4 linked regions of the Elephas maximus indicus genome follow. The protein of the gene in region 1 purifies or fractionates together with the protein of each later gene. This does not show direct contact. Links are inferred from orthologs where the notes say so. Each region holds a gene or a part of one and is shown on either strand. Other genes may lie near its edges. The genes, in order: AGO2, GEMIN4, TNRC6C and DDX20.

Region 1 (6,959 bases):
CAAAGGTTGGCAGTTTGAACTCACCAGCCGCTCTGCAGGAGAAAGATGTGGCAGCCAACTTCTGTAAAGATTACAGCCTAGGAAACCCCACAGGGAAGTTCTACTCGATGAGTCTGGATCCACACGAGCAGTGGGTTTGGTTTGTTTTGGTGGACACTGACTGTATTAACCCGCTGGCGAGCAAAGGAGAAACAGCAGCTGGAGGAGGGAGAGGGTGAGCTTTGATGTCCTGGGCCTGAAGCGAATTTGGGGGGCGAGGGCTGTGGCAAGGGGCCTGGGATTCCTCAGCACAGGCGCAGCAGGGTGAAGTCAAGCATGGTTTTACCTCGGAAGAGGGCAGGCAAAGGAGGGCCAGGACCACGCGGAGAGAACCCCGTGTCCCCGCGCTTTGGGGCGGGGAGCGCAGGATCCCCTAGGCCCCGAGGGCTCCGGAGGGGGCGGGGACGGGTGCGTGCTGCGGGGACGCGAAAGCGGCACCAGCGCCCCTTGGCCAGCAGGGGGCCAAGGATGAGGGATCTCAGAAAGGAGCGACGCAATGAAGCAGACACCTTCTAGAAAAGAGGTTTGCAACAAAGTTACCCAACGCCGGGCTCCAGGAAAAAGAGGGGAGCAATGGAGTCCAGACGGCAGGGGGGGATCCTAGTTCTGGGCATTCTGGAGCTAGAGGTGACAGCTGCAAACCGCGGGGCAGTCAGGCCCCTGAGTGATCCGGGGATTCCAGGCAGAAACGAGTTTTGTGGGTGTCTGAGAGGGACCATGGAGAGAGGCCTGTGGGGTTGAGGAGAATTATAAGGGGGTGTGGTTTATAAAAGGAGCCCTGATGGCACAGTGGTTAAGTGCTCAGCTGTTCACTAAAAGGTTGGCAGTTCAAACCCATCCGCAGCTCCCCTGGAGGACGACGTGGCGATCTGATTCCTTAAAGGTTACAGCCTTGGAAACCCTAGGGGGCAGCTGTACCCCGTCCTATAGGATCCCTAGGGGCCAGCTGTACCCCGTCCTGTAGGATCCCTAGGGGCCAGCTGTACCCCGTCCTGTAGGATCCCTAGGGGGCAGCTGTACCCCGTCCTGTAGGATCCCTAGGGGGCAGCTGTACCCCGTCCTTGGAAACCCTAGGGGGCAGCTGTACCCCGTCCTGTAGGATCCCTAGGGGGCAGCTGTACCCCGTCCTATAGGATCCCTAGGGGGCAGCTGTACCCCGTCCTATAGGATCCCTAGGGGGCAGCTGTACCCCGTCCTATAGGATCCCTAGAGGGCAGCTGTACCCCGTCCTATAGGATCCCTAGGAGTCGGAATTGATTCCACCGCAGTGGGTTTTCTGTGTGTGTGTGTGTGTTTTGTGGTTCATAAATAGGAGTGATAACATTCACGTTTATTTCAAGACTTCTTTGTTATGAAGTATAACAGAGGTACAGGGAAGTTTTTAAAACATAAAGCTTAAGGGATTGTTGCAAGGCAAACGCCAGTATCCACCCATCCACGGCCAGAAGGAACACGCCTTGGACCCCAAAAGTCCCCATGGGCCTCTCTGTGGTCACACCCCCCCAGCAGTAAACCCCATTCTGACTCTTATGATAATCACCTTCTTGTTTTTCTCTGTATTTCTATTATTAGCTTTGCATCCCTAAACAATGTGTGGGGCCAGTGGTGGTTCAGAGGCAGGATCCTCACCTTCTATGCAGGAGACCTGGGTTCGATTCCCGGCCAGTGTACCTCATGTGTCGCCACCACCCGTCTGTCAGTAGAGGCTTGTGTGTTGCTGTGAAGCTGAACAGGCTTCAGCGAAGCTTCCAGACTACTTGGACTAGGAAGAAATGCCTGGTGATTTACTTCTGAAAATCAGCCATCGATAATATGATCTCGACCATGGGAGCCACAACCCATCATGCGGATGGGCAGGACAGGGCAGTGTTTTGCTGAGGTGTGCATGTCGCCACCAATGGGGGGGGGGTGTCTGACCCCACGGCAGCTCACAACACCAACAACATATACGCGGGAGCCGAGATGTGGGTTTGTGTTTAGCTTTTACCGGATACTGCCACACATTTTCTCCAAATTCACGTTCTCACGATAACAGTCTTGAGAAAGCAAAGACGTGGATCTGAACAGCCCTGGAGTCTGATGTGAGAAGACTCTGGCAAACAGGTGGGGCTCTACTGTAGACCAGAGTAAGGATGTTGGGCCCTGTGTGGATGGAGACAGGAACCCAGGGAAGGGCTGTACGCAAAGTAGACCAAGATCAGCTTTGTGTTCGCACAACATGCCTCCAGCTGCGGCTCAGAGCGGAAGGAGAGGGAAGGGTCATTTCAGTGGTTGGTCAGGTGGCTCAGCCTTCTCAGGTGGAGGTGGTGGGCAGAGTTGGAGACGGGTGGCTGGGCATATGGGAGACCGCAGCGACAGGACTCAGAGACTGAGGAGGAGCCCCACTCCATCGGGAACTTGGTGAAGACAGATGTCTTCCTTATAAGTTTCTCTCTGTAGGAAATTACAGTTTTCCTTCACTTATTTAGGGATGACATTAGGGAGCCCTGGTGTCATAGTGATTAAGTGCTATGGCTGCTAACAAAAAGGTCTGCAGTTTGAATCCACCAGGCACTCACTGGAAACTCTATGGGGCAGTTCTTCTCTGTCCTATAGGGCCCCTATGAGTCAGGATCGACTCAACGGCAATGGCTTCTGAGACAGCAGAGATCTCATCATAAACCTGCCAAGGGCCCTGCACCTCCCCCAACACACTGGGCCTTGCACACGACAACATGACAATAATACGTATTCATAGGATGCCTGGAGAAAGGAGCAGGTGAAAGTGTTAGAAAATGAGTAACTCAGGTTGTGTGTCACCTTCTGACTTTAATAGCCCGCCTACTGGGGCAGGAAGGAGGTAACCTCTACCTAGCACCCCTAGGAAAGGCTCCAAGGGAGAGGTGGGGCCCAGAGGGACTTGGCGGTGAGGAGGATTTGGATGGGGGAACATCCCAGGCAGAGGCAGGAAAGCACAGAAAGGCACATTAAAGAGTGACATGGTGGGGGCTGGTAAGGGCACCGCTTGAAAGACGGGCCCAACAGAGCCCAAGGGGGCTGGGGGCAGTGGGCCCCAGCCCCGGAGCAGAGCCGGCTGGGCTGCGTCTAAGTCGCGCCGGGAGGTGGCGGTGTGGTTGTGCGCGAATGGGCAGGGAGCGCGTTCAAGTTCAAGCGCCGACATTCATGTTTCGTTATTAATTTAAAAAAGCCAGGCTGCGATGCGGCAGGCGCGGCCAGGAGGCGGACTCCCGCACCCCCGCCACATCGTGCCCAAGTGCACCGGGCCCCAGAGGAGCCGCGAAGCCGCCCGAGGGTGGGGGCGGGAGACTCAGGGGCGCCTCCGGGCCGGGGGACGGCGTCGCTCCTCCCGGGCGCTGCACCGGACCGTCGCCCCCCGCCGCCGGTCCCCGCCCAAGTCGCCCCCGGAACCCTCCAACCCCCGCGTCCCCGCCCACTCGGCTCCAATCCCCGCCCAGGTCCCCTCCCAGCCCCGGGTCCCCGCCTAGGTCCCCCCGGAACCCCAGCCCCGAGTCTCCGCCCAGTCCCCCCCGGACTCCCCTCAAGCCCCGAGTCTCCGCCCAGTCCCCCCCGACTCCCCTCCAGCCCCGAGTCTCCGCCCAGTCCCCCCCGGACTCCCCTCCAGCCCCGAGTCTCCGCCCAGTCCCCCCCGACTCCCCTCCAGCCCCGAGTCTCCGCCCAGTCCCCTCCGACTCCCCTCCAGCCCCGAGTCTCCGTCCACGTCCCTCCCGGGCGCCCCAGCCCCTGGTCCCCACTCGCCGCCCCTCGCCCGCCCCCGGGCTCCCCGCCCCGCAGCCCCCGGCGCGGACCCGGTGGCGCGCAGGGCCGGCCTCCCCCGCGGGCGCGCGCGCCTCCCCCGCCGGCCGGCGCCCCTCCCCGCGCCCTCCCCGCCCCGCCCGCCGCGGCGGGTAAACCTGTTCGGCGAGGCGGCCGCGCCGGGGCAGATCGAGCGGCCGGCAGCTCCTCGAGCTCTCGGCGTCGGGTGGTGCGCGCGGCCGCCCCTCGCGCAGAGCCTTCAGCGGCGCCACCATGTACTCGGCAGCCGGCCCCGGTGAGTGCGGCGGTTGGCGGCGCGAGGCGGGAGGCCACCCGCTCCCCGCGCCCCGGGTCCGGCCGGGCGCCGCGTGGAGGCCCGAGCCCAGCGGCCTGGGCGTACGGCAGGGGCCGGGGACCGGGGACCGGGGACCGGGGCCGGGGACCGGGGTCGGGGACCGGGGCCGGGGACCGGGGTCGGGGACCGGGGCCGGGGGCCGGGGCGGGGCCGGGGGCGGCGGGCCGGGGTCCTCGCCCGCGCGGTGGCGCCGGCCCGGGGCTCCGTGCGGGTGGGAGCGGCCCGGAGCCGCGCGGCGCCTCCCGTGGCGCGGGGCGCCCTCCCCGGTTCCTGGAACGAGGTGGGAGACGAGCTGATGTCGTCGGCTTCCCTGCCTCCGAGACAGCCTCGCCTGCGTCGGAAAAGTTCTAAAAACTTGAAGCAGGCGCACATTTTCCTTCTTTAATGCCGAGAGGGAGGGCGGCTAACTTGCTGGCGGAGAAAATGGTCCAGCGTTGAAACGCTGTCGCCGTCTCCCGCCGGGCACGTGGCCGCCCCGCTTCCCCGCGGCCCTGCCACTTGGCCCGGGCATTGCTGCGCCTTTGTCCGCCGAGCTCCGGCCTGGCCACCGCGCCCGGGGCTCCGTGCGTTCTCCTTCCCGGCCCTCCGCGCCTCCCTGCCCGCCCGCCTCAGGCCCCCGAGCCACTGGGGCCGGCTCTGATCGCTCCCCGCAGTGAGCTCGGTGCCTGGCGGATTCCGGGTGTCTTATTTCTGATGTCACAGTTGGTTAGAAAGCTTTCCCAAGGCTGAGCCGACCCAACTTTCCAACTCTTTAGGGCTCCCAGCAATTTGATTGCAAAATGGTTTGAACCCGGCACCTGGGAGGTGCCCCAGCCCTGCGGGCAGAGCCTGAGCTCCGTTGCCACAAGCCCTGGGGTCAGATCCTGGCTTCTTGGGGCCCTGAGTGGACAGACCCCGACCCGTGAAATGGGCCGGATGGTCCTCTCCGCCTTGAGTCAGGCTCTGAGAGCTGATCCGTCTAAAGGGACCCAGTAAGTGTTAGCGACCTACTTGGTATGTTTTTTCAGACTTTGAGTTTACAAGTTGGAGGCCGGCAAAAAGTGAAGAACCTTGAAGGAAGGTCAGGCTTTTCTGTAGAGTGTGTTCCTTAATCCACTGGACAGCTTGCTGAAGTTGGTGGTGGTTCTTCATTTTAAAGGTGGACAACAGAGGCTCAGAGAGGTTAAGAACTCCCCCAAGGTCAGACAGCCAGTGAGCATTAGACCAATCTGTCAGACACACAAGCCGATTCTCTTGACACCCTCCTCAGAGAAGTGGCTTTCAATCCTTTCTGACCTTGACCCCTGGGTGAGAAATACCTGTTAAATCTAGACCCGTTAAATTATATGCGTGTATAATTCAAACAAGAGCCTCAGGAAGCAACACCCCTCCCCTCACTGCGTGCACTGGCCTGGCCTGGGGTAATTCCCCGTGCACATCGATTTCTTAAAACGCTTCAGCCCTGTGGGTCTCCAGGCTCCTTCCTGGCCTCTGCCGGCTTTCTGGAGAGTCCTGCTCCGGTGGAGGCCTTGGTGGTGATGGGGAGAGGGACACACAGCTCACAGATAAGACCTGCTCAGGATAAATGGGTCTGTAGGATAATTCTTAGCTAAGGGCAGGATGGGAAGTGTGCCCAAATTTTAGGTTGTTTTGTAATGATACGGCTGTGATGCAGTTCCATTTTATTCTGTATGCGAGGGCTGTTAATTTCGTATAAAAGGAATTTTTGGAGCTGAGTCTCGTCAGTGAGACTCTTCAGTGTTGTATTTCTTAATTTAGAGTAATGAAAGGACATTCAGCCTGAATTGTAAAATAATTACAGATAGTTTTGCTACGTAAATTAATTTCAGATATAGAGTGTGCAACAGGCCTCTATTGTGCCTGTTACAAATAAAAAACTGTTACGTATGTGAATCAGTATCTGGGCTCTTAAAGTTAGGCGTGTTACCATTTTTTAGTTTTTTGAACTCTTTCAAAGAGTTAAGGCTTAGGGTAGGTCCTTCAGTGACTTTCTGAACCTTCATAGATGAACAAATTAGTTTGATTCTTTTTTTTTAGCCACTTAAAGCTCTTTCACTGTGTCTGAGCAGCAGCGTACTGTAAACCTATTGTTTCTAATGGTGTTACTGTGCTCAGATACCCCTGGGAGTTACACTCACCAGTTTACTACAAAGTAACTCTCAAATGTTGTCACTGGTAGTTGCTATCTCGTGGATTTCCACTGTTGGCGACCCCTTGTGTGCAGAGTAGAACTGCTCCACAGGATTTTTCAAGGCTGTGACTCTTTCAGAAGCAGATCGCCCGACCTTTCTTTGGGGGGGCCTTTGGGTGGAACCACCAACCTTCAGCTAGTAGTCGAGTACGTAATGAGAGTTGTCTGAATAAGATTATGCCTTTGAGAATAGCTGATTTACACTGTGGTTTCTAGTGTAATTTAACTTGCCATGCACCCCACTTCTTTTCCTTTTCCATTGTTGAGGTCTCCCAGTAATGTTGCATGGTTGTCGCAGAAGCAAATTTCCTTCTTTCTGCCCACAGAGAAGCAGCAAGCTGGGAGGTACGGGAGTACAGGGGTACTTGGCTGTGCGAGGGCTTCCTTAGTTCTATTTATAAACTTGGAGGAAGAATTTAAATAAGTGTGTAAAAAAAAAAAAGATTATGGAAGCTTTGACTCCTAAAACTTACACGGTTTTAAGTAGTACTGGCTTTTCTTTTTCTTTTTTTTAATTTCTGTCTTGTTAACTTCGAGTTTCAGCGGCGGAAGTTTTAATTAACGTGCTTCTGGAGCTCACGGTTTATATTGTCAATGACGCAGCCCGCTACCGTGCTCAGT
Region 2 (7,447 bases), on another chromosome or scaffold:
AAGTTAATGCCACTGTCCACCTGGCACATTTTGGTCTTTTGATATCAGCCTCCTTTTATTTAGCTCGTTGCCCACCTTTTCTTCCCTTGTTGCAATCTTTAGTATTTTATTCTTCCTAAAACCATTTAGTGTACAGCTTGGGACTTTTACCAAAGAATCCAGAAGTTTGACTTCTGCACAGTTCGTCTGCTATTAAAGCAAAAGTTACAATTACTTTCCCACTTCTGGGGATGGTGTAATCAATTAGAAAAGGTTATAAGAAGATGGTTTTGCCCAGGCTACTGTTCTAAGCCGATGAAGTTGGAAAGCTCTTTTGTTTCTCTAGAGTTACATTTTCAGAGTAGTAATTTTGTTACTTTAATTGAGAGGTTTTGAAGTCCTAGTATATTAAGTGTAAGTTCAAGCGTGCCTTGAGTTGAAATCCAGAGATGTAGAACGGCAGTGGTGCAGGGGTTCTAGGGTGGCCTGAGAGAGTTAGCTGTCTGAAGGCCACGTCTGCCCGACAGCTTGGTAGAAGTGGCAAAGCCCATGGACATTCAGTGCGCCTTTCTGTGACACTTTTACCCATCTCTCCTGCCACACGTGCCATTGCGGTTTAACAGCCAGTTTTCAGGAGAGCTCCAGCCTGTCCACTGAAAGTGATGAGAGTTAATGGGAAGTTTCCCCATTTTGGTCTAAGATTTCTTACCGTTACCCTGTGAGAAATCAACAGGACATTTACTCTGACTTTAATGATCAGTTAAGGAAGTGACCTGACCTCAGATCTCTTTATTAGGTAATAGAGGCACGTGGTTCAAAAATCAAAACAATGTAAGAAGGTATACATTGAAAAGTCTTGCTCCTACCCATCCCCATTGACCCCATTTCCCCTGCCCCCATACCAAAAAACCAAACCGTTGCCATCGAGTCAGTTCCAACTCGTAATGACCCCCCGTAGGTAATCAAAATATATTCTAATTTCTCCACACAGAGAAGATTTAACATACTATGTATACTATACCTTGCCTTTTTTTTTTTTTTTTTTAAGTAATATATCCTAGAGATCTTGCCTCTCAGTATATAGAAAATTTCTTCTATGGAAATTGATGTCATATTTTACAAATGCAAGCTTCAGATGTTTCCAGTCTTGTTATTCAAACAAAGCTACAATGCTACAGTGAATAATTGTACACCTCTTTTCCTTACTGCTAATTGTGCTTTTCATATTAAAATTGTGTATTTTTCAAAATTGCTTTCTCACACACCCAATCTTAGAGGCCACTGCTTTTCCTTCTAGATTCAGATGGTCAACTCATTCATTTCTTCCATTCATCATCTGTGGAACTGAGACATCCTGGAATTATTTTCAATGCCTTCCACTTTGTGATAACTATCTAATTATCCCGAGATAGTAGTTAATCTGGTGGATATTGATAAACAAGATTTTGTTTTTAAAAGTGAAGAGGAGGGTACGTGAAGGACAGTTGCCTGAGGAGGATGGGTTAGGTTTTTGTTTTTAGGCATTCATTTTTATATAGTCATGGGATAAACCACAAGTGTTCTCTGCCCTCCTAATTATGGCAATTTTTTACTTTATCAGGTTTCATAATGATTTCCAGAATGGTACAGCTACAACAAGAGCTTCTAAATTGACACCATATTTTGTATTAAGAAGCTTATTATTATTTGATGTGACGCCTGTCCCTAACAGCATCAAATTGTATTCATAATTCCCCCAGAGAACAGCACTGCTGTTCTGCAGTGTGGCTCTTGCCCATTTACAGGCCATAAGAAGTAATTTTTTGGCCACTGTGGACTTCTGGGTGTACTTCATTCTTAGTTTACTTGTCTGTAGCAGCTTCCTGCAAATATATGGACAGAGATCTTGAAGATACCTGGTGACACTTGGTTTTCTTTGTTGCCTGAAGTCTTTATGGTGGTTGTTTCTATTGTGTAATGGTTCTCGTGAACTGGGGCTCACCTAATGTCATGATGTATAAAAACAGTTTTTGAGGGAAATCCCATGCCACAGCAGACCTGTTTATCCGAAATGTCTTTAATAATACCATTTAGTGCTCCATATGCCAGTCACTAGATACAGTGCTTTGTGCACTGATACCTCCATGATAATCACCAACAAGAGTAGGAAGTGAGGTCAAGCACTTTGGCCCTTGCACAGCAGTATGAGGGGTGTCTTGTGTCCTAAAACAAAGTCTACTTATACATGTTTTGTGTGCCGGTGAGTCGATTCCGACTCATAGCAGCCCTATAGGACAGAGTATAACTGCCCCATAGGGTTTCCAAGGCTGTAATAGTTATGGAAACAGACTGCCTCATCTTTATCCCAGGGAGAAACTGCCGATCGTTCCATTAGCAGCAGAGCAATTAACCACTGCACCACTAGGGTTCCTACTCATGCGTGCATAGCTGTCTTGTCCCACAAACATCCCCAAGCAGAAACCAGGGTTAGGGAGTAGTCCAAAGAAAGTTTAGGTTACTGGGTTTTAGATGAGGCTTCCAGAGGCTGGTGTTTTGAAACCATCTTCTCTAGTATTTCTCAACTGCTGTGTTGTGATGCATCAGTTACTTCACCACATTGTCACAAGGAGTTTGACTTCCCTCCAAACATTAACTTGATGGGATCTGTTCCAGTGGGGGCTTTGGGTAATGGGGACTTGACTCTAGGTTTTTGGAAGACAGCCCCATTCCCTTCCGTACTGTTGAGTTAGTAGTGGATCAACAACCCCTGGGAGAGAAGGAACCATCGAATTCCTGGAGAATGGCTTTACTGACCTCAAATTTTGTGCATTTTCGTTGTACTGCTCTTCCTCCCACCCCTCTATTCCTGCCAAATATCTGCATATGCTCTGGCAATAGTACGCAATTTTACCTAGAGAGATGTTTCTTATAAATTTTGGACACTTTCCCAGTCACTTGGAGTTTATCTCTTTCCCAACTGCAGACAATCGCTCTCATGCAGCTTAAGTCATTTATTGATGTCTCAGCTAAAATTGGTACCGCTTCAGGACATTTCAGCCATCGAGGTCTTTCCAGGTCTTAAGGAGTCCTTTCTCTACCAGAGGAACTGTGCTACTTTCTTCTGTCCGCCAATCTGACCTACCTAACCACCCTCCTTTTTCTTTAGCTCTTCCACTTTGGAAATATAGATCCTCATGGCATCCAACTTGGTCATCCCTTTGTTCTCGTTCCATGCCTCCCATTTGGCCTTGGCTTTCACATCTGTGGAGGGTGGGGCAGGGATGTTGCAGTCGCCCTGGGTGGCCTGTTTGTAGAAGCTGTATACCAAGAGTTTCTCTTGATCACTCACAGGACCCTTCAGCTCCTTGACAGCAGCACAAGCTAGCTCAAACTCCACTTGGCCCATTGGTGTAAGTAAGGCCGGGCCCCTCTGTCCTTTCTAGGTGGTATCTGGCGCTAGGAAATTCAGAGGGTAGAGAGAAACAACTTGAGGCTGATGATTAGCTCAAAGAAGAAGAGAGGGGAAAAGGGAGCCGGGGCGTGTGTGGGGAGAACACAGGATATTTCCATGTGTTTTCTCAGTGAAAAATCAAATGTGTGCCTTTATGAAGTACAGATTGCAAACTGGTGGCATGTTGGGTTGGATCCGCCCCACGTTTGTTTTTTTGTTTTGTTTTGGCTTGCACAGTCATTTTGCGGGGAGGACTACGCTTCCAATTTAGGCATCCGGACCTAAAATTGGAAACCCTGGTGGTGCAGTGGTTAAGAGCGAGGCTGCTGACCAAAAGGTCAGCAGTTCAAATCCACCAGGCCCTGCTTGGAAATCGTTATGGCGCAGTTCTCCTCTGCCCTATAGGGTCGCTATGAGTCGGAATCGACTCGACGGCAACGGGTTTGGTTTTGACGGGAGGCGGTGTGGGATGAGAAGCGCTGGGGGCCTATGTGTGTTTCTGAGACAGACGGGGAGACCTGCTCTGGGGCAGGAAGCCCCTCAGTGTGTTGTGTCTGTTTATGCGGGTTAGTGGGCAGCCTGCGGAGGGGCATTCCGTTTGGGTGAACTGTGTGTGGGGGTGAGTGTGGGGCCAGGGACGGGGCTAATGGGTAGGCCGACTGGTATTCAGGAAGCTGATCTGGGAATGGTACTGGGCGGATGGGTGGCTGAGTAGAGCCTTGAAAGGGAGCGCGGCCGGGGTTGGAGCCAAGGCCGGGGCGGGGACTAGAGAGCGGGAGGGCCGGGGCGGGGCACGCAGCCGCGGGAGGGAGGTGCAGGTACCTGCTGGTTGGCTGGCGGGAGGGCTCTGGCCGATAGGGGGCGCTGCGGGCTCGGCGCCGCGGGCTAGTTGGTAGGAGCTGCGCGTGCGCGCTGAGCGGCGGAGCGGGGCCGCGGTCCCGGAGGGAGCGAGTGTTGAGGCTGTGGGCGGGGACTGAGGCGCGGCCCATTGTACCTCCCCCTGCCCCGCCCATTGTGGCGTGGCGCCTGCGCCGCACTCGCCGCCTCTGAGGGGGAGGGGCGGCCCCACGCCGCCGGCAGCGCCGCCGCCATGGACCTAGGTGGGTGTCGCGGTCCCCGAGTCCCGGGCCAGCCCGGACCACGTCCCGCAACGGGGAACTAGAGCGGTTCTGCCCGGCCCTCCCACTCCCGCTGCGCACGCTCGGGAGGGCCCCGGCCAAAAAGCACCTCCCGGTCGGGCAGAGGTTTTGGCGGGCGGGGATGTCCTTGGAAACCCAGGATCCAGAGGCCGGGCTCTAGCCCCTGGCTGGCTGTTACTTGACCGCCTCTTGCCCTCTCCCGGCCCCTTTCCGGGTGAAAAGCCAGGCGGATGTGGAGTTAGGTTTTCTGAAAGTGGGAAGGGTTAGTGCACGTGGTTTGGAAAAGGCTGGCTCGGAGGCCCCGGGGAACTCAGGGGTGCCTTGAACTGGCACATTTATTGAACTAAGTTCTTGGGCAAGTTTCTTACCCTCATCAGGTTTCCTCATCGATGAAAATGGGGGCGATGATAATGTATCTACTTCATAGAGCTTTTGAGAGTTTTGAGTTCACGTGTATACAGACAGGGTCGGGTACAGCGCCTACCGCACAGCAAGCCCGTCGAATTTGTGGCGGTTGTTGGAGTGGTTGGAAACCCTGGTGGCTTAGTGGTTACGTTCTACGGCTGCCAACCAAAAGGTTGGTAGTTCAGATCCACCAGGTTCTTCTTGGAAACTCTATAGGGCAGTTCTACTCTCCTATAGCGTCGCTAGGAGTCAGAATCGACTCGATGGTAATAGGTTTGGTTTTGGGGTTTGGTGGGAATGATTGCAGCTGAGATGGTGCCTTTGAACCTGCGGGCATCTTGATTCAGAGTCCTCTTAGGCATGGTTGGAAAAACGGAGGGAGAAGTGTATATAAATTGCTCCCCCGTTCTGAAGCCTCCCACCTCGCTGGCTATGCTGTTAAGGGGGTGATACCCTAGTCAGCTATAGAGAAATGTCCTGGGCCCTGTCCCCTCAGCCCTCCAGTGGTAGAATGGCAGCGCTTGAAGGGTTTGGAGCCCTGCAGCTGTGGTGGTTTCTGTCCGAGTCCCACCACTTTGTAGTTGTGACACTCTGAGCATATTAAGTGTTCCTGGGCCTCAGTGTTCCCGTGTCTAAAACAGGAATCATGGTCCCCAGAAAGTTGTTTTGAAGATTAAAAGATCTATAGGGGCACTATGAGTCGGAATTGACTCGATGTCAGTGGTTGTTTTTTTTTTTTTTTTGGTATGTGTGCTTGGCACAGTGCCTGACATAGAGTAAGCAGTTAATAAACGGTGCGTACCCCCAAGTACCAGCTAGTCATAAAGCACTTGGAAGTTACCCAGCTATTAACTGCTTGGGGGCTTATTACTTCAAGTAGCACATGTACATACTGTTGTCTCTGGAAGGCAGGAGTGTTGGGAGCCAGACATCAGCTCTAAGTAAATTCAAAGAGCAATGAAATTAAATTTACAGAATCTTTGGGACCCTGGCGGAACATCCTGAGCCTTGGTTTCAGGGCTCCCCCCTGGTCAGACAGCTACCAAAGTCACATTTCAGTGCTGACTTTCTTCTTGAGCCTTAGACCTGCGTTTCCTGTTGCTGGAGGACACCTCTATCTTAACGTTTTACCTCAGACTTCAAATAACCAAAACCAAACTTGTCTTCTCCTCTGTTACCTGTTTCTAATGGTGCTCCTTGGCCTCCCAGTTCCCAGGCTAGAGAACCTGTGAGTCATTTTTTATTCCTCAGCTAAGTCTCACTCCAGCTCTGCAGTGGCTTTTGTAACTATCCCTCCTCTCCCCTTCTCACTGATCTCATCTAAAACCTTGTCCTCTCTAACCCTGATAGTGACAGCCAGCCTAAGTGCTGTCTCTCCCTCTAACTTCTGCTTACTTATTTAAAAATTTTCACCACTTTCTTTGGCTTCTTTCCACGCAGGCCCCTTGAACATCTGTGAAGAAATGACTATTCTGCATGGGGGCTTCTTGCTGGCCGAGCAGCTTTTCCGCCCCAAAGCACTGGCAGAATTGACCAAGTCTGACTGGGAACATGTTGGGCAGCCCATTGTGGAGGCCCTGAAAGAGATCTCGGCCACAGCGTGCTCCCAGCCCTTTGCCTGGAAGAAGAAAGCTCTGATCATTATCTGGGCCAAGGTTCTTCAGCCCTACCCTGCCACCCCTTCTGACACTGAAACCCGGTGGCAGGAGGATGTGTTTTTCTCAGTAGGCAACATGCTCCCCACTATCAATCACACAATCCTTTTTGAGCTGCTCAAGTCCCTGGAAGCTTCTGGACTCTTTATCCAGCTCCTGATGGCCCTGCCCACCACCATCTGCCGCGTAGAGCTAGAGCGCTTTTTGGAACACATGACTGTTAACACTTCTTCAAAGGATGTGGCCTTCTTCCTAGACATCTGGTGGGAAATGATGAAGCACAAGGGCAATCAGCAGGACCCTCTGCTCTCGCAGTTTAGGACAATGGCCCATAAGTATTTGTCTTCTTCAGATGACTTCTGCCATCCTCCAAAGAGGTTCAAGTCAGACCCAGATGTGTGTCCCACCATGCCCCTGTTGGCCATGCTGCTCAACGGGCTGAAGCAAATCCAGAATAAAATCCTGTGTCCTGGAATGAAGTGCTGCGCATTGGCCAACTTGGCCGACATGCTGACGGTGTTTGCCCTTGTGGAGGAGGACCCCCAGGAAGTGTCTGCCACCGTGTATCTGGACAAACTGGCAACCGTCATTTCCGTGTGGAATTCAGACACCCAGAAGCCATACCACCAACAGGCGCTGACAGAGAAGGTAAAGGAGGCAGAGCGGGATGTCAGCCTGAACTCGCTGGCCAGGCTCCCAACTGAGACGCTGTTTGTTGGGTTTGAGTACATGCTCAGCCTGCTGCGGGAGTGGGGAGAAGAGCTGCAGGCCATGCTCAACAGCAGCCAGGGGACAAGCTACGATAGCTACCGGCTGTGTGACAGTCTGACTTCCTTCAG
Region 3 (7,713 bases), on another chromosome or scaffold:
CAAATAGAGTTACTCGTCTGTCTAGTTTGGTATTTCAGGTCTGTGAGTTGTTAATTAAATTTAACTTGCCATTTATTTTGATGTAATTTATTCATCGTTTGGGCAAATCTGTGAATTTTATTTATTTATTTATTGGTATACCCAGCTCCAGTATTTAAAAGTCTCTGGCTGATTGGCAGGGTGAAAAGGCTCTAATTTGAGGTTTCCTGTCAGTGCAGGTTCAGTCAGGAGGACACCATGCAGTAATGTGAACAGGGAACATTTACAGACTCAGAGCAACGAGGGATTGGCTGGCAAGAAGTAAAGAGAACCCTAAAGGATAGAGGAATAGCAGCTATAAGGAGTAGCCACTGCCTCCAGGGCTGAGTTGGAGCCCTCAAGGCCGAGCTCCAGACCTCACTGGAGAGGTCACGCTATGCTCACTGGACGCAGAGAACTCATCAATGCCGTGCTGGCAGAACTTGCCAGAAATCCACCTTCTCAGGTGAAAGCCGCTCACAGGAAAGGGTCTTGTTGGAGGCACTCTGCTACAATCCCCTCAGCAGAGGTTGACAGGGGAGGCTGCTGGCCACAGGTGCTGGAGAAGTCGCCACTGTTGCAGGAGCTGGGCACTGGGGAAGTCAAACCCGCGGCGGGAGCCTGGCAAGCACGCGCACTGGAACCTGGATGCAAAACTTTTTTTTCCAACTGTGTCTCTCTAGCACCCTCTACTGAAAATGCTTAACATCATGCCGATTGGCAGAGGAAGAAAACGTAAAGGTCCCAGATGCATTTTCACAGAGCAAACAAAAAGAGGAGGTTGGAGCTCGAGAGGCAATAAATAATAACCAGCACAGCTCCCCAACTCCAAACTCCTTTGTAGTTGGAGGTAGGCACTTTTGGGAAAGGCATTACGCTGATCATTGGCTACACACTACAAGCTTTTAAATTTCTAGCAAACAATGATATTTTTTAAAACGCGCATACATCCTGGTCATTCTTATTAACTGCTCCATAGCACACCAAGACCTGACAGCAAAGATTACTGTCTTTCAGACTAGTTAGGGATTTTCTTCTATTATGTTAAATATATTTAAAGTACGTTCAAGTGTCCTTAAGTAAGTTGACTAAGAAAATGGAGCTCCAATAAAAGGTAATAGCATTACTTTGTGACTTAATTCAAGGCTAATCTAAACTCAAATGAAATATAGAAAAGGTTTTTCACAAAACGGCACTTAAAACTCTTATACTTGTAATTTACATGTTAATGTAGTAAGTAATACTACAGTTTCTATAGTGGTGAAAATGTTTACTGAACCTAATTAGTTTTGAGACAAATTGTAATTAAATAATGCTGAATTCAGTCAGGTTTTCAAACTACTAAGTTAAGTTTAGGTTTCAATTTGCTAAGAGTGGGAATTTCAGATCACTTCCTTGTGCGCATGCGGAACCTGTCCATGGAGAGGGAGGAAGTTGTTCGGACAGAAAGGGGATACTGAATCATTCAGAATTGGAAAAGGTATACAACGGGTTGTATCCTTTCACCTTACTCAAGCTGCATGTTGACAAAATAATCCAAGAAACTGGGCTATACGAAGAACAAAGCATCAGGTTTGGAATAAGACTCATTACCAGCCTGCGATATGCAGATGACACAAACTTGCTTGCTGAAAATGAAGATGACGTTAAGTACTTAACTGATAAAGGTCAAAGATTACAGCCTTCAGTATGGATTACACCTGTACATGAAAAAAACAAAAATCCTCAAATTGGACTGATATACAACATCATAATAAACGGAGAAGAAATTGAAGTTGTCAGTGGTTTCATTCTACTTGGATCAGCAATCAATATCCATGGACGCATCAGTCCAGAAACCAAATGGACATACTGCATTGGGCAAATCTGCTGCAAAAGTTTTAAAAAGCAAAAATGTCACTTTGATGACTAAGATGCGTCTGACCCAAGCCATGGTCTTTTCAGTCACCTCATTTACGTGCAAAAGTTGCATAACGAAAACAAGAATTGATGCCTTTGAACTGCGCTGTTGGCAAAGAATGTTGAATATACTGTAAACTACCAGAAGAACAAACAAATCTTAGAAGAAATACAACCAGAATGCTCCTTAGAAGCAAGGGTGACGAGATTTCAACTTGACTACTTTGGACACGTCATCAGGAAAGACCAGTTGCTGAAAAAGGACGTCATGTTTGTGGTAAAGTAGAGGGCTAACAAAAATGAGGGAAACCCTCAATGAGATGGATTGACACAATAGCTGTAAAAATGGACTAAAATATACCAACGATCATGAAGGTGATGCAAGACCAGGCAACATTTAGTTCCGTTATTCATAAGGTTGACATAAGTAAGAGCTGATTGGACAGCAACTAACAACAATAGGTTTAAATAAATAAATTTGTTAGAAACCATTTGTGTGTCAGGATTCTTTGGTTATAAGCAGCAGAAAGAACTGCCATGTAACTTTTAGGAAGATGTGAGGTAACTGACAGAACTGAAGGAAAAACAGAAGGGCCGAGCTAAGAAAGGGCAGGGGCCCACTGTGGCCTGGAGAATCTAGGTAACTGGCCCCAGTGGACAGGTTCTTAAGGGTATGGTCAGTGAGATGAATCTGATCTAGCTGTTGGCCACTCCATTCAGTTTGCAAATCCCAAGGAGTGTCTTGATTGGCCTGGCGTGACTCTCCTGCTGTCAGCATTACTGGGGAGCAACCTAAAGGTATGAGGCTGCAGACCTGGAGGACCTCTGTCGCCAAGACTTCGTGTTTTTTTCCGTTTCTCAGCTTCACTTCCTTGGTGTTGGCCTCATTTCCAGGGCCTGTGGGTTTGAGAGATGCTGCAGCACCTTTCAGCCCTGAGGTTCTGTTAAGTCCAGACCCAGCAAAAGTGTCATCCCTGAGCCACTGCCCCTGAACGTCCACAGATTGAGAGTGAGTGTGGGAGTGGGACTCCAGGTGAAATGAGGGAACAGTTACCAACAGGAGGACTAAAGGAAGCTGGGGGTAAATCTGCTTCAGAAGACCTCTTTAAAGTCAAGCAAGATGTCACTTTGAGGACTAAGGTGCACCTGACCCAAGCCATGATAGTTTCGGTCATCATATATGCATGCGAAAGCTGAACAATGAATAAGGAAGACCGAAGAAGAATTGATGCCTTTGAATTATGTGTTGCTGAAGAATATTGAACATACCACGGACTGCCAAAAGAACAAACAAGTCTCTTGGAAGAAATACATACAGCCAGAGTGCTCCTTGGAAATGAGGATGGCGAGACTTCGTCTCACATACATTGGACATGTTATCAGGAGGGACCAGTCCCTGGGGAAGGATAACATGCTTGATAAATAGAGAGGGTCAGCAAAAAAGAGGAAGATCTTTACAAGATAAATTGACATGGTGGCTACAACAATAGGTTCAAGCATAGCAAGGATTGCGGGGATGGTTCAGGATCGGGCAGTGTTTTGTTCTTCTGTACATAGGGTCAGTATGAATTAGAACTGACTCAACAGCACCTAACAACAACATCAACACTTAAGCCTGAACAGAGACAACCAATGATTAGCAAACAGTTGCGGAAAACTTCCCACATCAAAGAGAGTCTAAGAGAAGAAGAGTCCACGGAAGAAACAGGTAACGTAGGAAACAAAAAAGCTTCAGAAAAACCCTAATATCCTCAGATAGAACAGAGATGATTTCGCATCCATAATACGAAAACAAAATGTGGAGAAGGAGCAATTAGAAAGCAAGAACGTCATTAAGAAGCACAGTGCAAAGATTAGAAGACCAAGTAGAGCCAAGCACACAGAAAATAGAATAACAGAAAGGCATGGAGTAGAAAATAGAAAAGTTATAGAGAATCAAACCAGGAGGCTCAGTATGTTGTTATTTAGAAAACAGAAAACATTTTCAAGAAAATAGCTGAAATTATATTTTTATGTTGAAAGAGTCAACCAAATGCAAAGCACAAATAATGAGGGGTGGGGGGGGAGACACCAAGGTACATCATCATGAAATTTCAGAACCCAGGGGATAAAGAGATGCTATAAGCTTCCATAGAAAAAATATATCACCTAAAACGGATTGAGAATCAAAAAAATCAGACATGCTAGAACAGTGGAATTCTCTGCTTAGCCAAGCCACCATTCAAACAAAAAGGCAGCCTAAAACTGTTTTCAAACATATATGGTCTCCAAAAATCAACCTCTCACACGTTCTTTCTTGAGAAGATACTTGACGATGTTTTCCAGCACATCGAGGGAGTAATTTAGGAAGGTGTAAGACAAGGGAAGTCACAGGATGGCTGAATTAATAAAGTCAAATCAGTGTTAATAGATGATGATGTTTTGCTGAGGCATTTGTACGTTTTGTTCCTTCTGCTTAGTCTGTTAATTCCTCCTTTCTGCTCTATCAGTCTGGGTCCAGTCAGAAAACAGAAATCACACAGTGGTACAGACAGAAGTTTATATTAAAGAATCATTAAGCTATGATACAAGAAAACTGGCAGAGCACTCCCAGCCCAGACAGAGCAGGACTGAAGGCCCTGGAAGGTAGATTTGGGGGGGGGGGGGGATTCATGTTTTAAATTTTGGAGGGAAGCATACAAAAACAGGATTTTTGTAAGGAAAATACTGTAAGAGGAAAAGAAACACAATTGGGAACTCAAAAAAAAAAAAAAAGAAAAGAAAAAAACAGCTGCACAAAAGGTAAAGTGTAATCCCAGTATATATTCTAACTCTGCAGCAAATATTTAGATATTCTTTGTAAGTAAATGCTGTTTATTGATTTAACTAAAAGTAGTAATGGATGGTAAAATGGGGGTGCTCTAAGAGCCATATCCACATCCGTCATTACACTAATTGTTAATGTCTCAAATTGGTGAGCCGAGAGCCTAGCCATCCACATACGTTATTTAGAGCTGGGAAGGAACATAGCTTCCCTGTATACGTGGGGTATATAATTAAGTGAAAAAAGAGTAACACAGAAGAGTGAATAGTCTGTTTGCATTTGTTATTTAAAAAAAAAAAGGATGAGTACATGTATAGTCGTATGTAGAGATACCCTAAAGATATCCAAGAAACTGCTAACATTTTGTTAACCTCTAAGCAGAGGGCCGTGGGGGTGTTGGAACAGCAGTCTTACGTTTCATTATGTATCTTTTTGTACTGTTTATGGCTTTCCCCCCCCATGAGCACTTATTACTTTATAAAATAAAAATGCGATTAAATGTTGATTTAAAAAAATTATTAATGATATAACAGAAATTGCACACTGGGGGTTAGAGGTAGAAGAGATTACTGCTAGCTAGGGGGAGATTAGATAAAGCTTTATTAAGAGCACATATCTGAACTACTCTTTCTCACGTAGACATGGGCGTGGGCGGGAAAGCGTAAGCAATTTCGTGGGCTTTAAATTTACCATATTGTGTACTTAAAGCAGTTTTAGGTTTACAGAAAAATTGTGGAGAAAGTACACAGTTCCATGTATGACCTTCCCACTGCACACACTCTCCTGTTACTAACGTCTTTCATCCATGTGCTATGTTTGTTGCAGTTGGTGAACCATATTGATATGTTACTATTAACTAAAGTCCTTGGTTTACATCATGCTTCACTCTGTGTGTTATATAGCCCTGTGTGTTTTAACAAATGCATGATGTTGTGTGTCCACCATTACAGTATCATGCAGAGTAGCCTCACTGCCCTAAAGATGCCCTGCGCTCCACCCCTCCCTCCGCTGGGACTCTACATTTTAAACAGGTACCCAGATGATTCTGATGATTGTGGTCCCTGAGACAACACTTTGAAAAATAATATTCTGGGGCTGAACTGTGGGAACTGCATCTTACTCCATTCTATTCTGTACCTTCCTCTCCGAACACAATGCCTGATAGTAGGTTGGTGCTCAACAAATATGGGCTGAATGAATGAGCCACTGAAGAAGTCAGGGCAACTTGCTGTTATTCTCAAAGGGTGCCTGTGATGGGGGTGAATGTCTGTGTCTTAACACCTGTCCTTCAAGGGTCCTTCCTTACACCATATGCGACTCAGCTGCCTTAAAACTTCCTGCTGCTAATGCTTCTCTCAATTTTCGATTTAAAATGGACATCGTACTAATACCACTTTTCTTTATATTCGACAGGGAGAAAGAACAAAAAACACAAGAAGAGGAACGTTTGATGGAAGAAAAGAAAAAGAAAAAGCAGGAAGAAAAGAAAAAGAAGGAAGGTGCTCAGAAAAAGGTTTGGCTAGAGTTACTCCTGATCTTCCTTGTTTTGAGAATCATTGTGTCTCATCTCTATGATCATAGCCATTGCATTACTAAGTTTCATTCTGCTTTTTAAATCAAGATACTAAATCTGTAATTAGTGGAGAATAGCTAATGTGCTAGTGAGATAAACGTAGGACGACCGCCACAAATTGCCTTCCTTCAGGGCCGAGAGGTACCGGAGCTGCTGCGTGTAAAGGTTGATGGAAGTGGCGAATGTCCACACTGTCCCGCTTGAAGCGAGCTGCCCGGGGTTGGGGGGGAAAGGGCTGTCTGGCTGATGTTGTCAGAAAAGCTCAGAATAACTGCTGCAACTTCAGCAAGCGTTCTTCTACAAAATTCTATTAGTAGATCCTAAAAATTAAAAGTCCCACTGTAAACCTTTGTAGACATGCTTGGATTTCATGGTATTTAAAATACAAAGTAAGGCCATTTGTTTTTGCTCTTGCCTAGTTTCATACGTTTTATAGTTGAAGCTGCATACCTCCCAGGCCGTATCACAATAGAGCTCAAAGGAGCTTTCCAGGGTGGGTTTTTTTTTGCCTTTAGATTGTTGTTGGCATGTAATCAATAGCATGTAGGCAATTGTATGTTTTTCCCCAATAATAAATGATAAAATTAACTGGACAAAATCGTGATTTTAAAATTCTAGTATTAGAAGTCCACTTACATACTTTCATAGATGGGTCCATCCTACAGGTTATTATTCCTAAAGAGTTTCTGATTTTTTTTTTTTTCCCCCCAGGCTGCTGATCAAAAAACCAAAGGTAAGTTTATTTATATTTGTGGGGGGCTACATTTTAGGACAGATCAAACTGTTTATGATGAAGATGACTAAGTTTTTAATTGATGGTTAAAAAACAGAATCTAACTTAGATTTTGTGCTGACTTTTTATTATTCGTTGTGAAATTCTTCATTTATCACTGGTTTTACATCTGCATTTCATTGGCATTTGCCTACTCTAAAAAACTGCCTAAAGGATGTTAATGTAAGTTTTATTAGCAATGCGTTACAGTTTTCCTTCGGTTTGATTTCTGCTAAACAAGGATTACGCTGATACAGGCGATCCGACCAAAGGGCACTGGATGTCTTTAAAGTCTCCGGTTCCTCATTGCCAGCTTTTCCTTATGGTAAAAAGGGACATGTTCTTTCTCTGTTCCTCCTTTGTCTATTGATATGTAAAACTTTCTCTTTTCTTAAATTCTCCAAGTCCAGAGTTTGCTGCTGTCTTATGGGTATTGGCGGAAGCACACAGTTCTTACTGTGATTTCCTGGCGATTCAGAATGAGCACAGTGGGAGCGACACTGGGAGCATCTTCATTGCAGACTTGACATGTTTAGGTGCTTTCTAGTGGTGAGGAGCACACACTCCGGAGTCATAAACCAGCTCTGGTTAACTTTGCGCAAACCACTTCCCGTCTTTAAGCCTCAGGCATCTCATACTTAAACTGAG
Region 4 (7,431 bases), on another chromosome or scaffold:
CACTCTTACTTCTTCAGTTCACAGGGATCTCTCCTTCCACTGGCCTCCGCTGACTTGAAGGGGAGTAGGAGCTCCTGGATATATAAAGTGGGCGAGGCTTTCCAGGTAGACGGAGCAGCACCAAGGTTCTGAGCTGTGACAAGCCATGAGCATTAAGGAATTGATGTAGTTTGGTCTGTTTGGAGGAGGTAGGTGGGCTTCCTGGCCCGAAAAGAGGCTGAGGTCTGATTGGACTTTATCTTGTGGGTGCTGAGATGCAGACATAGTCCACACTAGTGTTCAGTTTCCATGTGTTTTTCTCTTACACCTTTCCTAGTTATTAAGTGATCTCTCTTTGTTTTATCTTTACAGCCCTGAAATTGTGGTCAACAATATTGTTATTCTTTTTAACCATTGAGGGAAAAATTTTATTGATTTGTGTTTTTAGCCATAGCAATAAAATGTACTCCCAATAACATTACTGCAATATTCGTGTCAGTAAAACACCATAAATAACAAATGCAATAAGAGAATGCCTATAAAACTATGAATGCCCTTTTCTGGAAAAGTAGTATTTTTGTTTCTCTCGGGATGAGAGCCAGGTTCTTTGACAGTGATTGGTCCAAGTTCTGTAGAACTGCTGCTGTGCACATGGGGACCCGGTAGAGACTTTTTGAGCAAGAAAGTGTCAGCCATGCAATATTTATTAGGTTTACCAGGTGCCTCATACTGGGCTGGAGAGAGCCTAGGGTGACAACATTCCTGTCATTGAGAAGATCATAGTTTAGTAGGAGGGACAGGCATGTAAACAAGTAAATACAATATGGTAAGAGCTGGACAAGAATTATTTACAGTGTGAGGTGGGAGCCTGGGGTGGGGAATAAATAAGGGTGTCAAAAGAAGCAAGGCCTGAAGCTGGTTTAAAGCAACCAAGGATAATCTATTTAAGAAAGCTCATTCCAGCAGATGCGGGTGGATGGCCAAGATAGAGAAGAAATTCTGGCAGGAGACCATTCAGGAGGTTATTGCAATAGTTCAGGATGGTGAAGGGGCCTAAAACACGGCAGATGCTACGGGGACTGGAGAAGAGGAATGGAAGAAATATTTGGAGCCATAATTACCTCCAGTCAGTGAATTGTTACAAAGAGGGGAGGGATAGTAGAAGGTGTGACTTGGAGGATTAGGTGGCTGAAAAAGGTGGGGGTCCTAATAGGATGCCTGGGGGTTTAATGCACCCCTCATCATCAGTTCTCCTTCTTTCCTATGGACAGTTGACATTTTCTCAAGGTTTTGTAAATTTCTAAGCAGGACTCCTTTCCAGTGGGATTACCATGCCGAAGAGGCACATTGTTTGGAATCTGGAACCACTGTGTATGTGTGTGTGTGTGTGTGTGTGTTTGTCTGTGTGTGTAAGTGGGAGATAATGACCAGGATTATGATCTAAGGACAAAGGAAAAGTTTGGTGTTGGACGCAGAATAGCTTTAAGTTCGAAATTGTAAGATAGGTTTTCAGAAAATAAGTTTGGAATTGTGACTAAGTCTTTGTTATAGGCACTCATTCTCTCAATAAATATTTATTGAGTACTTACTATGTGTCGGATTCTCTTTTTCCCACTAGGGATAGACCAGAGAACCAGACAAAAAAGCTTCCTGTCCTCATGAAGTAGGGGAGACAGAAAATACATAAATATATAAATACATTGAAAAGACAGGAAAGAAAGAAGAGACTGAGATGGATGTCAAAGGAGACTCTGAAACTTGTTCTTGAGTGTCAAGCAGCTAAAGCAAAAGGAAGAATGGATGAAGTGAAAGAACTGAAGATTTCAAAGGGCATCTTGAGAAGACAAAATAAAGTATTATAATGACGTGTGCAAAGAGCTGGAGATGGAAAACCAAAAGGTAAGAACACGCTTGGTGTTTCTCAAGCTGAAAGAACTGAAGAAAAAATTCAAGCCTCAAGTTGCAATAGTGAAGGATTCCATGGGGAAAATATTAAATGATGCAGGAAGCATCAAAAGAAGATGGAAGGAATACCGAGTCATTATACCAAAAAGAATTAGTCGATGTTCAACCATTTCAAGAGGTGGCATATGATCAGGAACCGATGGTACTGAAGGAAGAAGTCCAAGCTGCTCTGAAGGCATTGGCGAAAAACAAGGCTCCAGGAATTGATGGAATATCAGTTGAGATGTTTCAACAAATGGATGCAGTGCTGAAGGTGCTCAGTCGTCTATGCCAAGAAATATGGAAGACAGCTTCCTGGCCAACTGACTGGAAGAGATCCATATTCATGCCTATTCCCGAGAAAGGTGATCCAACTGAATGTGGAAATTATAGAACAACATCATTAATATCACATGCAAGTAAAATTTTGCTGAAGGTCATTCAAAAACGTCTGCGGCAGTATATCGACGGGGAACTGCCAGAAGTTTAGGCCGGTTTCGGAAGAGGATGTGGAACCAGGGATATCATTGCTGATGTCAGATGGATCCTGGCTGAAAGCAGAGAATACCAGAAGGATGTTTACCTGTGTTTTATTGACTATGTAAAGGCATTGACTGTGTGGGTCATAACAAACTGTGGACAACATTGGGAAGAATGGGAATTCCAGAACGCTTAATTGTGCTCGTGAGGAACCTTTACATAGATCAAGAGGCAGTTGTTTAGACAGAACAAGGGGATACGGATTGGTTTAAAGTCAGGCAAGGTGTGCGTCAGGGTTATATTCTTCCACCATACCTATTTAATCTGTATGCTGAGCAAATAATACCAGAAGTTGGAGTATATGAAGAAGAACAGGGCATCGGGATTGGAGGAAGACTCATTAACAACCTGCCTTATGCAGATGACACAACCTTGCTTGCTCAAAGTGAAGAGGACTTGAAGCACTTACTAATGAAGATCAAGGACCACAGCCTTCAGTATGGATTGCACCTCAACATAAAGAAAACAAAAATCCTCACAACTGGACCAATGAGCAACATCATGATAGACAGAGAAAAGATTGAACTTGTCAAGGATTTCATTTTACTTGGATCCACAATCAACAGCCATGGAAGCAGCAGTCAAGAATCAAAAGACGCATTGCATTGGGTAAATCTGGTGCAAAGGACCTCTTTAAAGTGTTGAAGAGCAAAGATGTCACCCTGAAAACAAAGGTGTGCCTGACCCAAGCCATGGTATTTTCAATCACATTATATGCATGTGAAAGCTGGACAATGAGTAAGGAAGACCGAAGAAGAATTGATGCCTTTGAATTGTGGTGTTGGCGAAGAACATTGAATATACCATGGACTGCCAAAAGAATGAATAAATCTGTCTCAAAAGAAGTACAGCCAGAATGCTCCTTAGAAGCAAGGATGGCGAGACTGTGTCTTACACACTTCGGACATGTTGTCAGGAGGGATCAGTCCCTGGAGAAGGACATCATGCTTGGCAGAGTACAGGATCAGCAGAAGAGAGGAAGACCCTCAAAGAGGTGGATTGACACAGTGGGTTCAACAATGAACTCAAGCATAAGAACGACTGTAAGGATGGCTCAGGACAGGGCAGTGTTTCATTTTGTTGTGCATAGGGTCACTATGAGTCAGAACCAACTTGACGCCACCTAACAACAACAATAATACAATTATATATAATACGTCCTATAAAAAATTAGAGCAGAACAAGGGAATATAGTGACGGAAAAGGCAGGGGTGGGGGACTTCTTTGAAAAGGTGGTATTTGAGCAGAGACCTAAATTAAAGAAAGCCATAAAGACCGCTAGTTGCCCACTCATGACGGAGGAGCAAGACATACAAAGAAAACATGTTAAATTTGAGATGCCTAGAATTGACTCCACGGCAACCAGGTACTAGACATCTAAAGTAGAAATGTTGATGAGGCAGATGGATGAAAATATAAGACGAGTTTAGAGAGAGGTTTGAGGTTTGGCAATTGTCAGGGTCATCAATTCAATATTCAATTCCAGCTCCTGGTTCCAATTCAATTTCCTTTATTAGAGTTCACCACGTGCCAGGTACCGTGTCAGGAGCTGGGGACCCAAGGATGAACAAAGCCATTCTGCAGGCAGACATACACCATAAAAAAAAAAAAAATCCCGAAGTCTTGTTAAACCTCGAGCGCTCTCTGCGAACACAGAGAAAACAGCGAGTTGGGAGGGCTCGGGAAAAGATGACGGCGGAGCGGGATTCAGGCTGACCGAACAGCCAGCGGAGGCTCAGAGGCGGCGAGGTGTGACGCACCGGACGCATCACAAAGACAGGGCTGTGCGGGTGGCTGCACTCGGTCGGGACTGGGCGGACCCACCCAGAAGAAGCCGGGAGGAGGGACGGCGCCCCCACCGTGAGCACGTGGCGCCCTCTGCAGGCCGAAGGCAGCGACACACCGGTAGCCTCATCTTCTCTCTCCTCTCACTTCCCGCCTTCCTCAGGCCACATTTTTCTGTTGTCGTTCCTGAGTCTTTCCCAGCCTCCGGCTTCCATCCCTCCTCTTCTGTCCAAGGCCGGGCGTGTTACTGTCGTCACTGGAAGACTGCCAATAACGTTTTCTCTTTCCTCGCTCTCATGCTCCCCGCCTCTTCTCAAGTACCGCGAGATTTGGTGGCGCGTGTACCATGGCGGCGGCGCTTGAGGCCCCTGCGGCCTCGGCTCCCGTGGAGACGGCTTTACCGGAGGAGCGTGTGACCGCGCCTGTCCCGGCTCCGGAGCCCGCCCCCGGGCCGGCGCGCAGCCTGCGGACGGCTCACGACATCGGCGGCCCGCGGACCCGCACAGGGGACGTGCTGCTGGCTGAGCCGGCGGATTTCGAGTCGTTGCTGCTGTCGCGGCCGGTGCTGGAGGGCCTGCGGGCGGCCGGCTTCGAGCGGCCCTCCCCGGTGCAGCTCAAGGCCATCCCGCTGGGGCGCTGCGGTCTCGGTGAGGGCGGGGGCCCAGGGGAGGCCGGACGGGGCCGAGGAGGGGGGCCCGAGGGGCGGCAGCAGCTGGGCCCGCGGCGAGGACCGGGAAGGAGCACCAGGTCGGCCGCCTGGGCAGGGCTCGGCCTTGGGCTAGGTGCCGCACGCCTTCGAGCCTCAGTTTCCCCTTTTGTAAAACAAAAGGGGAGATTTTGCATTTGAAGATAGCTAGAGCCCTTTCCAGCGCTGGCTCGTGATTCTGAGCTTGAGAGGCTAAACAGTGGTAGAGGTTCAGACACACCTGGGATGGCTCTGAATATGGCCTCGTGCATTTTTGATGGTAAACTGAAAATGGCAGGTCCCAGCTAGGTTATCTGTGGAGACCCTTTCCAGTTCTCCCATTTCATGTTGGTATCTAAGCTCCTTCAGTTAGTACTTGCTGGTGACAATTTGTTGATTTTTCCTTCTCAGATTTAATTGTTCAAGCTAAGTCAGGCACTGGGAAAACCTGTGTATTCTCCACCATTGCTTTGGACTCTCTTGTTCTTGAAAACTTAAGTACCCAGGTGAGTTTAGCTCCGAGGACTCAGATGAATGATTGAGTTAAACCGTATGTAAATTATGAAAGTAAAGGAGACGTTAAGGCTGCTGAGTGGTGCTGGTGTGGATGGTTACCAAGGATACCTTATTGGTCTTTGAAGTTTGGAATATTATTACCACATCATAAACAGAGTAAGCCAACCATGAGTGTCGGTTTTGACGTGACATAAGACTACAGACAAGGATTCATTGTTCTTTTACTTGCTGACTAGATTGCAGCAAGGCGAGACTTAGCGTTTGATTTGATTCATGGTGATGTGATGCTCTGGCTATAATTGGTGGTAACGCCAGGTGGTTCTTAAAGATCTGTGAATCTATCATCTTGATCTCCCATCTTCTGGATTTTCTTAGAATAGTTCTAAGACCGCTTTACTCAAATTAACAGACAATTCAGGCTTGGCATGGAGGTGCGGTCATTTCTTCAACAAAGATTTGTTGAGCCCATAGTATGTATAAACAGTATGTCAGGCACTGGGGATACAAAGGTGCAGCAGATGGCATCCTTAGTTTGTGGCATAGCAGTTATGACAGACTTTATTTCATATTTTCAGTTATGTATATCTGAGGATGATGATCCTTTAATACGGTTGTTTTTAACCAGGGATACTCATATATACATTATCCGGGAAGCTTTTTGAGTCTTACCTTTTACCTACTGAATCCTGGTTGATGCTACTCATAGGAAATCCTTCTACTACCCAATGACCTGGGCTTTTCTACTTGTGGACTAAGGTGTATTTGCCATTTTGGCTGCTGAAAGTGAGCACTCTGGCAGCAGGTTAAGTGTCAAAACTGTGCATAATTTCCATAAATAAGATTCTTTTTTAAAATTTAAGGTCTTTGTATTATCAAAATTATATAACATAATTTTTTGCATCAAAGCTATACATGGGCATTTATGGAAAGTTGGGAAAATTTAGCAGAAATACCAGGAAACAAAATGTATAATCTCACCTACCCAGAGAGAAACTGCTGTTAACAGTTTTGGCATATTTTCTTCTAGTCCTTTTTATTTGTAAGCATTTTTTTCCTTCTCATAATTGAGAACATGTAATTTAACCTTCTCCTTTTTCAGTAGTTATATGGCAGAGTTTTCACCGTGGCTCACAAAACCTTTCATGATCTAGCCCCCTGGAGCTAGATCTCTGTCGTCCGCTCCATTTCCCCCAATTCTGTCCAGCCACATGGCCTCCTTGCCATTTTACAAACACACCAAGAACACTCTCATCTTTAGGCCTTTGCATTTGCTGCCCTGTTCCTGAAAACTCTTGCTCAGGTGTCACACAGCCAGCTCTACTCTGCTGTATATTCACATCTCTGCTCAAATGTCAGCTTCAGAGAGGGGGCTTCCTTGACTACTCCATGAAAATGACTCCATCCCTTTTGCTGTTGGATTTTTCTTCGTAGCACTTTTTATTACCTGCCATTATTTATATATGTTTATTATATACCATCTTATCATACTAGAATGAAAGTATCATGAGGTCAAGGGCTTTATACTGTTAACTGTGATCTCCTAGCAATTAGTATGTTGGATGGTACAAACAGTTTTTGCCTGGCTGCTAATCTAAAGGTTGATGGTTCAAACCCACCTAGTGGTGCCGCAGACCAGAGGCCTGGTGATCTGCTTCCATAACGATTACAGCCAAGAAAACCTTATGAAGCACTTCTACTCTAGAACACGTACGTGAGGTTACCATAAGTAGGAATTGACTTGACGGCAACGGGTTTGGCTTTTTTGCATCAGTATGTCATCTAGCACTTAGTGGGTTCTCATTTAATATTTGCTGAATGAATATGTAAATGGATGAATGGAATGTTTTCCTTTGCCAGTAAAAACTCAATCATCATTTTAAATGGTTATGTAGTAGTTTGTCATATAATTAATGTGCCAGTCATATGTATTTATTCCCTGACTTGTTAAAGGTATATTTTATGTTTTTTTTTAGATTTTGATT

What was found.
Region 2: the proteins of AGO2 (region 1) and GEMIN4 purify together in Homo sapiens (affinity purification with western blotting; 4 studies listed by BioGRID and IntAct, with this or other methods). This does not show direct contact. The link is inferred for Elephas maximus indicus from reciprocal best matches to the Homo sapiens genes AGO2 and GEMIN4.
Region 3: the proteins of AGO2 (region 1) and TNRC6C purify together in Homo sapiens (co-immunoprecipitation; 6 studies listed by BioGRID and IntAct, with this or other methods). This does not show direct contact. The link is inferred for Elephas maximus indicus from reciprocal best matches to the Homo sapiens genes AGO2 and TNRC6C.
Region 4: the proteins of AGO2 (region 1) and DDX20 purify together in Homo sapiens (affinity purification with western blotting; 3 studies listed by BioGRID). This does not show direct contact. The link is inferred for Elephas maximus indicus from reciprocal best matches to the Homo sapiens genes AGO2 and DDX20.

Annotation. Positions count from the first base shown.
Region 1 is NC_064833.1:4,034,738-4,041,696, forward strand, and holds the start of AGO2 (protein argonaute-2), read left to right. Parts: upstream 1-3,941; 5' UTR 3,942-4,065; coding exon 4,066-4,087; intron 4,088-6,959.
Region 2 is NC_064837.1:20,925,945-20,933,391, reverse strand, and holds the start of GEMIN4 (gem-associated protein 4), read left to right. Parts: upstream 1-4,446; 5' UTR 4,447-4,499; coding exon 4,500-4,509; intron 4,510-6,393; coding exon 6,394-7,447. Other genes in the region: diazepam-binding inhibitor-like 5, read right to left, coding at 3,101-3,364. UniProt on the Homo sapiens protein: The SMN complex catalyzes the assembly of small nuclear ribonucleoproteins (snRNPs), the building blocks of the spliceosome, and thereby plays an important role in the splicing of cellular pre-mRNAs.
Region 3 is NC_064837.1:67,973,344-67,981,056, forward strand, and holds the start of TNRC6C (trinucleotide repeat-containing gene 6C protein), read left to right. Parts: upstream 1-4,712; 5' UTR 4,713-6,092; coding exon 6,093-6,233; intron 6,234-7,004; coding exon 7,005-7,026; intron 7,027-7,713. UniProt on the Homo sapiens protein: Plays a role in RNA-mediated gene silencing by micro-RNAs (miRNAs). Required for miRNA-dependent translational repression of complementary mRNAs by argonaute family proteins.
Region 4 is NC_064821.1:169,130,648-169,138,078, reverse strand, and holds the start of DDX20 (probable ATP-dependent RNA helicase DDX20), read left to right. Parts: upstream 1-4,415; 5' UTR 4,416-4,594; coding exon 4,595-4,895; intron 4,896-5,344; coding exon 5,345-5,439; intron 5,440-7,422; coding exon 7,423-7,431.